Arabidopsis thaliana: one gene and its partner. The protein of the gene in region 1 interacts with the protein of each later gene in a pairwise test. Each region holds a gene or a part of one and is shown on either strand. Other genes may lie near its edges. The genes, in order: AT5G25490 and AtRZ-1c.

Region 1 (3,990 bases):
CTTTAGAGAGACAAGTATACCACAATGGAAAGGGTGATTTGACGGTAAAAAAAGCGATTGCAGTGTACCCACAAACGACAATTTATAATTTGTATGTGGGATATATAGTAAGGGAAATAAAAATCATAGGGTTAAATAGAAAAAGTGAATGAAACTGTCTTGTAGTTGTAGTAGACGAATCAAAAGGACACGTAGATGGTCAAGATACGAACCTCAAAGCCTTTTCCCTCCCATTTAATGATTCTTGTTTTTGTTTTAATCTATAATTTTTCATGATTTTCTTAAGTCTTTGTTTTGAAAATCACGAACGAATAAGTTCTGATGGATGTACTTGAATATTAGTAACAAGACTAATTGAATTAAAGAAAAGAGAAGTTATTCCTTTGACGTTTATAATTTTCCGCGGCTAAGGGAACATATACGTTCCTTGAAACTGTTGCCATGCAACTTTTGCTTTAACAGTTTAGAGAGTTTTTTACTTCATGCTACATCCTTTTTCTCCTGACACACACAAGAGCATATTATACATCCATGTACCTCCTCCATCGACCATCAATATATAGATACATGTGATTATTAATTATCTACATAAAAAGTTATACCACGAAGTTGCGATTGATAATATGAAAGTGGTACATGCTCGAAATAGATAATGAGAATATATCAGCTTTAGTTGTCTCATCGTTAGTCAATCTATATGTGCATATACAGTTAACAAGAAATCTATAAGCATATACGAACTGGGGTCCCAATAAGGTCTAAGAATCTTTTTTTTCTTTTTTTCTTTTCTTTGCTTTGCTTTAGTTTAGTTTGTGAAATTTAGTGAAAATTTCATTTTGTCTCATAGAGAAACCACATGTTAGTCAAAAATTATATAGTAAGTCCAAGAAAACTATATTAATATACCCATATTACCATATAGTCGGAGATTTCTAGTATCTCTAGTTTAGTTCTTCTTATTCATTATCAATTCAAGTGTTATAAAACCTCGAGACCAATAAAATAGGATTCACTCTCCTTCGTGCCCCCAAAGATATAGGTTTACATATCTATATTTCCACACCACCATTTTAAAAGCAAGAGTTAATTAAAGAGATATTTTTTAGTCATCTTGGTATGTAATCTGGTAAACTTTTTAGTTTGTTATCTTGTATAAACAACCAGTAAGATTTTGGTTCTTTTGTAAATACTTCTCTTTGAATTTAGGACTAGTGTTTTAAAATTACTTTCCTCCCATATTTTTGTTTTGATCTTTCAATTTAAATTAAAAGTTCGTTTACAACCCATGCATGCACACTTCCGAATTTAAACTCGGATTATAATTTGGCACTATAATAATCTATTAGAATACGTCTTGATTAATTTTAAAATATTTAGGTGTCTTAAAATAAGTACGTACGTTGATAAATATGGAGATATATACATCTGTCAAGTAAATGGTATTGAATTTGCCAGTATTAGCTTTTGTGAAGCTGACGCAAAATGAAAACGGCTGATATCTAAAGCTTTAACCTTGTGTTTCTTTTTTTTGTTTAAAATAGTGGGGTCTAGAAATGATAAATTAATTTAAAGTCCTCGATATATATAAATAGATAAATTTGTTTCTTTTGGGAATAACGTAGTTTACGGAGAAACCCAAATGTTAAAGGGAAATGCATTAAAGCTGTAGCAAAATAAGAAAGTAAAAACCAATTGAAACCCTAATTTCACTTCAAAAAATGTTCCCGGTTGTTAAAGGAAGGGCCTTTTGCTTTGTCCATATAAATATATTGTGAGAGTACAACAACACCTTCATAAGCTCTTACACTCATTTCAACTCTCTTTTTCGTTTCCATTACCCTCAGGTAATCATAACATATATATAAGTTACATTTGTAGATACATATGTCTTTAGTTTTGTGTAATTTGTTACTTAATTATTATTTTCTATGGTGTTGTAGAAGAAGATGAATAGGCCGGGAGATTGGAACTGCAGATTGTGTAGCCACCTCAACTTCCAGAGGAGGGATTCATGCCAACGTTGTAGAGAGCCTAGACCGGGCGGGATCAGTACCGATTTACTCAGCGGTTTTGGTGGCCGTCCGGTTAGTAGCTCCTTCGGTTTCAACACCGGGCCCGATGTGCGACCCGGGGATTGGTATTGCAACCTTGGGGATTGTGGGACACATAATTTTGCCAATAGGTCCAGTTGTTTCAAGTGTGGTGCCGCAAAAGATGAGTTTTCATGCTCAAGTGCTGCTGCAACAACCGGGTTTATGGACATGAATGTTGGTCCGAGACGTGGCCTTTTTGGTTTTGGCGGCAGCAGTAGTGGTGGTGGTGGTACGGGCCGTTCTCCTTGGAAATCTGGAGATTGGATTTGCCCAAGGTACTTTTTTGTTTGATTGTTTCTATGTATTGATGTTATTTTTTTGCAATAATATGTTTTGATGGTTAAAACTTAAAGCCAAAAAAGAAACATGCATGCTGGCTTACGTAAGCTAAACACGACCGTTTAAATTGTATTAATGTATATGCATATCGTAGAAACTGATTGGTTTAATTTGTATATTATAGGTCAGGCTGTAACGAACATAACTTCGCAAGCAGGTCAGAGTGTTTCAGGTGTAACGCACCAAAGGAACTTGCCACCGAACCACCCTATTAGTCATTTAGTCCTCCTACCTTCTTCATCATTTCCAAGTACTTTTCGTTTCAACAATAGTCTTAACTTCTGATCAGAAACAGTTCGACATATATATTTGGATGATAGAATTTGTTAACATTTACAACTTTATTATATCGTAAAAGTTTAAATAGTAGTGTGAAATACACTAACGATAGTACTTTAACGTTAACGTACGTATCTTTTTGATTATTTTTTTTAGTACTCTGGAAGCATTAGAGGAGAGCAGAAAGGTGAAGAATCGAAGCAAGATACCGACCGCCCTTAATCTCTTGATTTGTTTAATTTCTTAGATTTGACTCGTTTTATATCTCGTAGTAGTCAGACCTATGTTAGAATGTAAGCATGTCGAGAGTTTTCCGAAGCATTTTGTTCTGATATCGGTCTCCTAGCTAGTATGTAAGTTTGTTTGAATGTATTCTTATTTCTGATAAAGTTGTTTCCTTCTGATTCCGCAATCACGATTCTCATCTAAGTTTGAAACACTTGAGTTGTTGAACGTACGAGAGGCTGAGAGCTGTTGAGAACTTCTTCTGTGGCCGCAAATCCAAATTGCATGCAAATGTTATTATATATGCAATTAAAATTTTGTTATATAATTTGTAGTAGGAATGTAGTTTTACGTTAAACCAAACACAAACTCTAGTAACCGTTTGAAATGGGTAGATGCATGGACCACAACGAAACCTTTTGTCCAATGCCTCAAAAAAAAATATGCATGAGCATTCATATTATGATGTGGCTTGGTGATAATGAGCTTACCACCAAATCGAATGAAAATGTATGAGTTCCACTCTAAAATGAGAATAGTTATCAGAAAATATTAATTATGTTATATATCATTAATTAGTTTAGAATTCTAATTTATTTTCTTGGTAACATTAAGTTGCAAAATTAATTTTAATTAAATACAAATACGGATTTCACTATATATTAAATTGCGTATTCAAGGCCATCTTTTCGCACATACATTCGAGCAGTCGAACAAAACCCATAAGAAGATTTTTGCAATGAAGTTTTGTCATAAACAACAATATTGCAACTGATCGATGACCGTTTCCTTAATTGTTTGTAATGGGTGGTATACTTAAAAATTTGTTTTCAAAATGTAAGTAAGAAAGAAAAAAATCAGTAACGCATTTTTCATATTTACCATTCAACTTTTGATCCTGCTTATTTTTGTACTGTTTGTTCCGTCTCGCAGTACTAATTAGAACTACACTTTTTTTGGTCAAAACACTAACTACATTTTTTTTGCTTGATCTACTACTCAATATATTTTTGTTTTTATCGCTCGTTCTATACTGCCACGTACGATTGAGACT
Region 2 (6,313 bases), 7.7 Mb from region 1:
GAGATATTCCTTGTCTCCCACACTTTCACCTGAAGATCATCAAAAGCCACAAGCCTATATAAAATTAGAGATCAACACCACTATGCATTACTATTTTACTTCTTTATATTAATAAACATATAGACAACTAAATTTATCACTTTAAAAACCAAAAATTATACGTACATGTACAACAAAAAAGCATTTCATTCTCATGGATCCCACTTATTTTTCTCCTTTTTTCAATGAAAGTGATGTCTTTTCTCCTAAATGTGATAAATTTAATTCTTTTTTATATTTACAAAACAAAAACAAGAATAGTCAAAACAGTAACAGTAATAACAAGATACTAGATAAAATATCCGTGAATTTGATCTTAAAATAACAATACAAATTGAGTAGTATAATAAAATTTAGTTATATGAAAGAAGAATAAATATTACTTGACGTTGAAGAGGGAAAAATGAAAGGTTTACAGAGAAAAAAAAAAACAAAAAATAAAATAAAGAAGCCTTGAGATATAACGAAAATGTTGGCTTTCACTTGTGACTGTAATTTTTATTCCAAACTCTTAACTATGAAATTACGTTCAAATGTATTTACGATAACTGCCTGGTCATATACATAATCAAATCAAGTTTTTAACATGTGGTTCGTGCACCACTAGTTTTCTAAAAGGTTAGGATATTAGAACATACGTCTTGAAACCCTAGCATCTATAATTCTTTGTAACCATATATTCAAAATTTATAGATACTCAAAAATTTCCTAAAAGTATTAAAATTTGTCAATAGTAAAAAGCTTCGCACACAATTATTTTGTTTGGGAAGATGAGTTATCTACCCATATCATGGCAGACAACCTGGTACCTTTGCCTCTGTCCACATTATCATAGATTATATATATTTTTGGTTTTATATTCCATTTCTCTGTATTTTATACTTTAGAATCTTATTTACACAAATTTAGTATATGATTTTTTTTTGTATCTTTAGATGTAACTTTTTGATGACATTAAATAGATGGTATATTAGGTCAAATAATCAAAGTGTAACAGTATATACTATTATAGATCTATGTCATATATGACCTATTTAATTTGTTGGAATCTCTCGAAATGTACAAAATAATATTGGTTAGGTTTAAAAATGTTTAAGCACCAACTGGATCATTATATTAAATTAATAATCCAAGTGGTATTAATTACAATTAAACTTTCTTATATGCATTTCTTATAAAACTTTCCCTCGAATCTTGAGAGTCATTTTAGTAATTCGAAAGGAAACTTAGTTTAACAAATTTTCCTATAAAGAAAAACAAAACCGATTTCCTTGTACATTTGCGGATGACTATTTCTACAATTACAGTTTATGAATTCGTTCATAAAGCCTTTTGGCCATACAAATTTTGTATACCTCCAAATTTTAAGCCATATTTAACCATCTTGCTTAAGTAATGACCGTAAAGTCAAGTACATATCTGTCCACATGGGAACATGGATGCTTCTAAGCTAGTAATTATCCACATGATGTTGCAAAGGCACCGTTTTATACATAATGCCACACATGTAAAGCCCGGAATAATATGTGATATCTTAAACCATCACATACCTCCCTAAGATTTGTATGGAAATATATAAAAATTATTATGCTACAAAAATTCATTCGTCTTGTAATGAAAAGTAAAATTGTTTAAACGTACGTTTTAGAAAAAAAAGAAGAAGAGAGAAATTGTGCTATTTACATTACTGTTTTTTTTATTTGCATTAGAAATTTTGTTACTAGGTGCAAATACACTTAAAAATGAAGAATGTGTACCAGGATAGTCGGAGTTCTGTCTTAGGATGATAAATATACAAATCCTATAGGTTGTTTTGCTCCAAAACTGTGGGCTGGTTAAAGTTAGTTTATTAGCTAGGTAATGCGTGATTAGGTCATCTACACATAGTGACTTGGATCTCACGTGGAATAAAGCTTCTGATATCTTATTTTATTGTAAAGCTAAACAATATATATTGATCAGCTAAAACATATTCGATGTAATTTTTATATGCATGTTCAAATTTTCAAGTAAAAATTGGCAAGAGATCTTATTGGGAAAAACCCTCAACTACAATTATAATTGTTTTTTTTTTTGCCTCATTACAAGCTTAAAGGATGTATTTATAGTATACAGAAAAAAGAAAAGACTTATTTTTCTGGTCGGTCATTGGTGGATCCATGAGCTTAACAGAATAAACTTATGACTTGGGCCCATAGAGAAATTTGGGCCTAGGTCTGGGCCTCTGTTGTTAATCATCAGAGCCTTTAGGCACTTGTAGTGTACCTTTCTCGTGGCGTAGTACCTCAACCACCACCATTTTAGGGTTTCTTCGTGCCATTGATATTTTGAGAGGCGAAGGAAACAATACGATTCAGAGAGAGGTAAGATGAATCTATTCGTGTAATTCTAGAATTAATATCGAGTTTAGTCGTTGGAGATTTTTTTGTTCGTTTACCTCAATTTGTTTTGTTTTCTGTGAATAGACGAGTGAAAATGGCTGCAAAAGAAGGTAGTAGGATTTTTGTCGGTGGTTTATCGCCGGAAGTGACAGATAGAGACCTTGAAAGAGCTTTTAGCCGCTTCGGAGACATTCTCGATTGTCAGGTACCAATTTGAAATTTTTGTTCTATGTTTTGTTCTTCTCTGTGTAGGTTGGTACTATTTTTATTCCTTGAGTTTATCATAGCTTGTGCCTGCACTAGTCCTATGAAATTTAGAGATTGTTATCTAAAGCTTTGTGATAAGAATTGAACATGTCTATGAATATTTTTGGAATGTTTTAAGTTGAAAGTGGTATATTTGCTTGAGCTGATCGTGAAAACATATACTTGAAAAAATGAGATTACACTAATAATACAGAAATACAGAGACGTTTGAGGATTAGTTGAAAAGTCTTGCTTTGCATTATTCCTCTTTTCACTTATTGATCTTCCCTTTTTTCTTTTTTTTCCTGGATGCTGGTAATGTATCACTGAAACACTATAGATTGATGAATTAGGGATGATATTGATCAGAGCTACATGGTTCAAGTTGAGAAACTACTCTGTGATAAAGAATTAAACTGCCTGAGATTTTAGGATATACAGTAGTGTTTGAGTTTCTGAGCAAATTGATTTCCACACTTTTGGAATGTGTTTCACAAGGTTGGGACTGTCGTAACTGGTTACTTCAGTTTCTTCTATCATCAAGGAAATTCTTTATTTTGCTCTGGAGGGATGACTGTTTTTTCGTAACTCATGATTGAGATGTGTAATTCTTGAGTTCTCTAAGTATGCCGTGACTGGGTTTTGGTTTACTTCCTGATAATGTTCCTTGTTACTGCTCTTACTAGTAATTAAATGTTTGTTTGCTGGCCTGGGATACCTGATTTGGTTTTGAGTGGTCAATTCGAGATGCTACCCAGTTTAGGCCAGAGTCTCAGTTCTTCTTCAGGTGGTGAAGATATTTAGGAACTCCTTGCAGTAGTTACGTTGTGTAGTCATATTTCTGGATAATCCCAGTCTACATTCAGTTGTCTTGCCGCAAGATTTCGTTTTCTCCTCATACCCTGAGCATCAGTGCAAGCAGTTTGGATTCTTCAGCGTAGTATGAACCTGCAGAACGGAAAATTACACTCAGTTGAAGCAGAGATCTCAAGGTTTCGGTGATCCTTTTCTTATCCAGATTTCCTACTTGTCTTTCTTGTGGGCTGTTTGCTTTACCTCATCTCGCTTCTCCTGCCATGTGTGGCTAGTAGGAGTTACATGGATTTGATCTTTTCCTTTCTCTGTTCTTCTTTTTCAGTCTTACAAATTTCCTAATTTTCTAATGCAAGCCAATTAAAATGATTCTTGTGCCTGGGCCACACATTTTCTATATCCACCAACCCCAGTTCTCTGTGCTTATCTTTTCCGGAAGTTTCTGAAACCTGATAAAGCTCTTTGTGTGAGAGGAATTCTGTATTTCTGATCTGTGGGTTGTGGTGCTATGTAAAGAATCGTCAGCTCCAGTGAATCTGAATGACTTCAGCTGGATCAATGTCAGATGATATCTGCATATTGAGTAGAAACAGATGTTTGATCAGTAATTTTGAGTACAGCTAATTAACTGACTTCCTTCTCTGTAAACCTTCCTCTCTTTAGTTTTGCAACTACATCACATGGCTGTTGAGAATAGGGATGAACTAGTATACTATCTAAGGGCTTAAATTGAGGAATTTTTCATTTTGAACTGAGAAAAAGTTGTTAGTGCTTTCTGCTACCTCTGCTTGAGATTGGAGACTTACTTTAAAGTTGATTCAGTTTCTGGGGATCTGTACTGTGTTTTGCTCTGAAGTTGAGGTTGATTGACTATTTACTACACAAAGCAGGGTCACAGTGTTATGCAGTGAACCTTAAAACGGTTGGGTGTTTCTTGATGTCACATGGGCTTGATATGATCTTTCAGATTTTGCAATCGTTTCATTTTACTACTGCCCTTCTGCTCACTTTTAGCTACACGTATGCATATATCTTTGGGAAATCAGCTTTTATGGTGTATTGTGTATAGATCATGCTGGAAAGAGATACTGGTCGTTCACGTGGATTCGGGTTTATCACTTTTGCTGATCGCCGCGCTATGGATGAGTCCATCAGAGAGATGCATGGAAGGGACTTTGGTGATCGGGTCATCTCAGTGAACAGAGCTGAACCAAAACTGGGGCGAGATGATGGAGAAAGTCATGGCTCTAGAGGTGGCAGAGACAGTGGCTACTCGATTGCTGGAAAAGGAAGCTTTGGTGGAGGTGGAGGTGGAGGTGGGCGTGTTGGTGAAGATGAATGCTTCAAGTGTGGACGGGTTGGGCACTGGGCCCGTGATTGTCCTTCTGCTGGTGGTGGTCGTGGAGGACCTGTTGGTGGTTTTTCTTCACGTGCTAGTGCGTATGGAGGATCTGATGGACGTGTTGACCGCTATGCTGACCGTGACCGCTATGTGGACCGCGAACGATACATAGATGATCGATACGACGGTGCTGCACGCTATGGTGCTAGAGACAGGTTTGACAGCAGAGAAGCCTACATACCCCGTGATCGATACGCCAGTGACAGGTTAGAATCAAGTTTCTAATGCAACTCAGATTATTGTAAGGTTATCAAAGTGACTTGCTTTTCTTACATAACTTTATTCTTATCTGTGATTTTACAGGTATGCAGCCCCGGCTGATCGGTTTGCAGGTGGTGATAGATACAGCCGTGGATCAGACCGTTATCCTCCAGGGAGCTATGACAAAGCTCGGTCCTTTGAGAGAGACATAGCCCCGAGTGCAGGCAGTGACAGGTACGGTGGTGGTAGAGCTGGTGGTCCCATCCGTGGAGGAGGAGAGGAGGGAAGAGGGTTTAGAAGCAGAGCCGGTGCTCCTTATGAGAGACCGAGCAGAAGTGGTGGTGGTGGAGCTTATCCGTCGTCGTCCACTTTTGACCGTTATTAAGACACATTAATGAAAGAAAGTGAGAATGATGCTTGGTTAGAGCTCTATACACTCAGTCGTGTGTGTTGCTTGTGGTAATGAATATCTCTGTAAGCGTTATAGGTGTAAAAGACTTGTCTTTTTTATTTATATATGATTAGTTTGCGGACCTGTTTAGCTTTGTATTTTGATCCTTTATTATTTTTGGTTTGTTTTGGACCATAACATGACTTTTGAGCTTCGTCAGTCAATGTTAAACCTTGCACACATAACTAGCCTTTTTAGTTTCATCATCAATGTACAAGAGACGAGTGTCTTAGGCATCCGCATGTTATTCTAAAATTTTGATTTATTGTTTTGTATACTGTACATATTGCTTCATATTGTCAAAATTTTCGTTTTTTCCTATAAGTTCAATCTATTACCAAATAGGCAAATAAAACGAAGCAGAATATTATTGTAGAGACAAAAGAAAAGTTGAGAAATTAATTAAAACAATAAAGAGTCCAAATCGATTGGATAATAAAAAGGCCTTAAAAGAGTAAAGAGTAAAAAAAAAAGCCACTCAAAAGTCGGAAAACAATCACATCTATAAACGTTTTCTTCACTCTCTCTGCTACTTGTCTCTCAAAAGAAATGCAATTGTGAAAGCCCTAAACTAACCGTGAAGAAGACGATGGATCGCAAGGGAAAGGGTAAACAGGTCGCCGGTAGTGATTCGTATTCCGGCGGACAGAAAAGGAAAAACTCCGTCGAATTCAGAGATGAAGGTTTGAGGATTAAGAAGCGCAAAAACCCTGAGGTTCTTCAGTTCTTCGAAGAATCAGCTGAAGTTGGCTACTACGGAGGCAGCTCCGACGAAGATGA

Evidence for each region.
Region 2: the proteins of AT5G25490 (region 1) and AtRZ-1c interact in a two-hybrid assay, tested with the Arabidopsis thaliana proteins (one large-scale study listed by BioGRID).

What each region holds. Positions count from the first base shown.
Region 1 is NC_003076.8:8,874,693-8,878,682, forward strand, and holds AT5G25490 (Ran BP2/NZF zinc finger-like superfamily protein), read left to right. Parts: upstream 1-1,628; 5' UTR 1,629-1,844; intron 1,845-1,940; 5' UTR 1,941-1,946; coding exon 1,947-2,368; intron 2,369-2,556; coding exon 2,557-2,647; 3' UTR 2,648-2,682; exon of another isoform or gene 2,683-2,867; 3' UTR 2,868-3,212; downstream 3,213-3,990.
Region 2 is NC_003076.8:1,189,947-1,196,259, forward strand, and holds AtRZ-1c (RNA-binding (RRM/RBD/RNP motifs) family protein with retrovirus zinc finger-like domain-containing protein), read left to right. Parts: upstream 1-2,312; 5' UTR 2,313-2,402; intron 2,403-2,504; 5' UTR 2,505-2,514; coding exon 2,515-2,625; exon of another isoform or gene 2,626-4,548; coding exon 4,549-5,087; intron 5,088-5,184; coding exon 5,185-5,467; 3' UTR 5,468-5,813; downstream 5,814-6,313. Other genes in the region: KTF1 (kow domain-containing transcription factor 1), read left to right, coding at 6,123-6,313.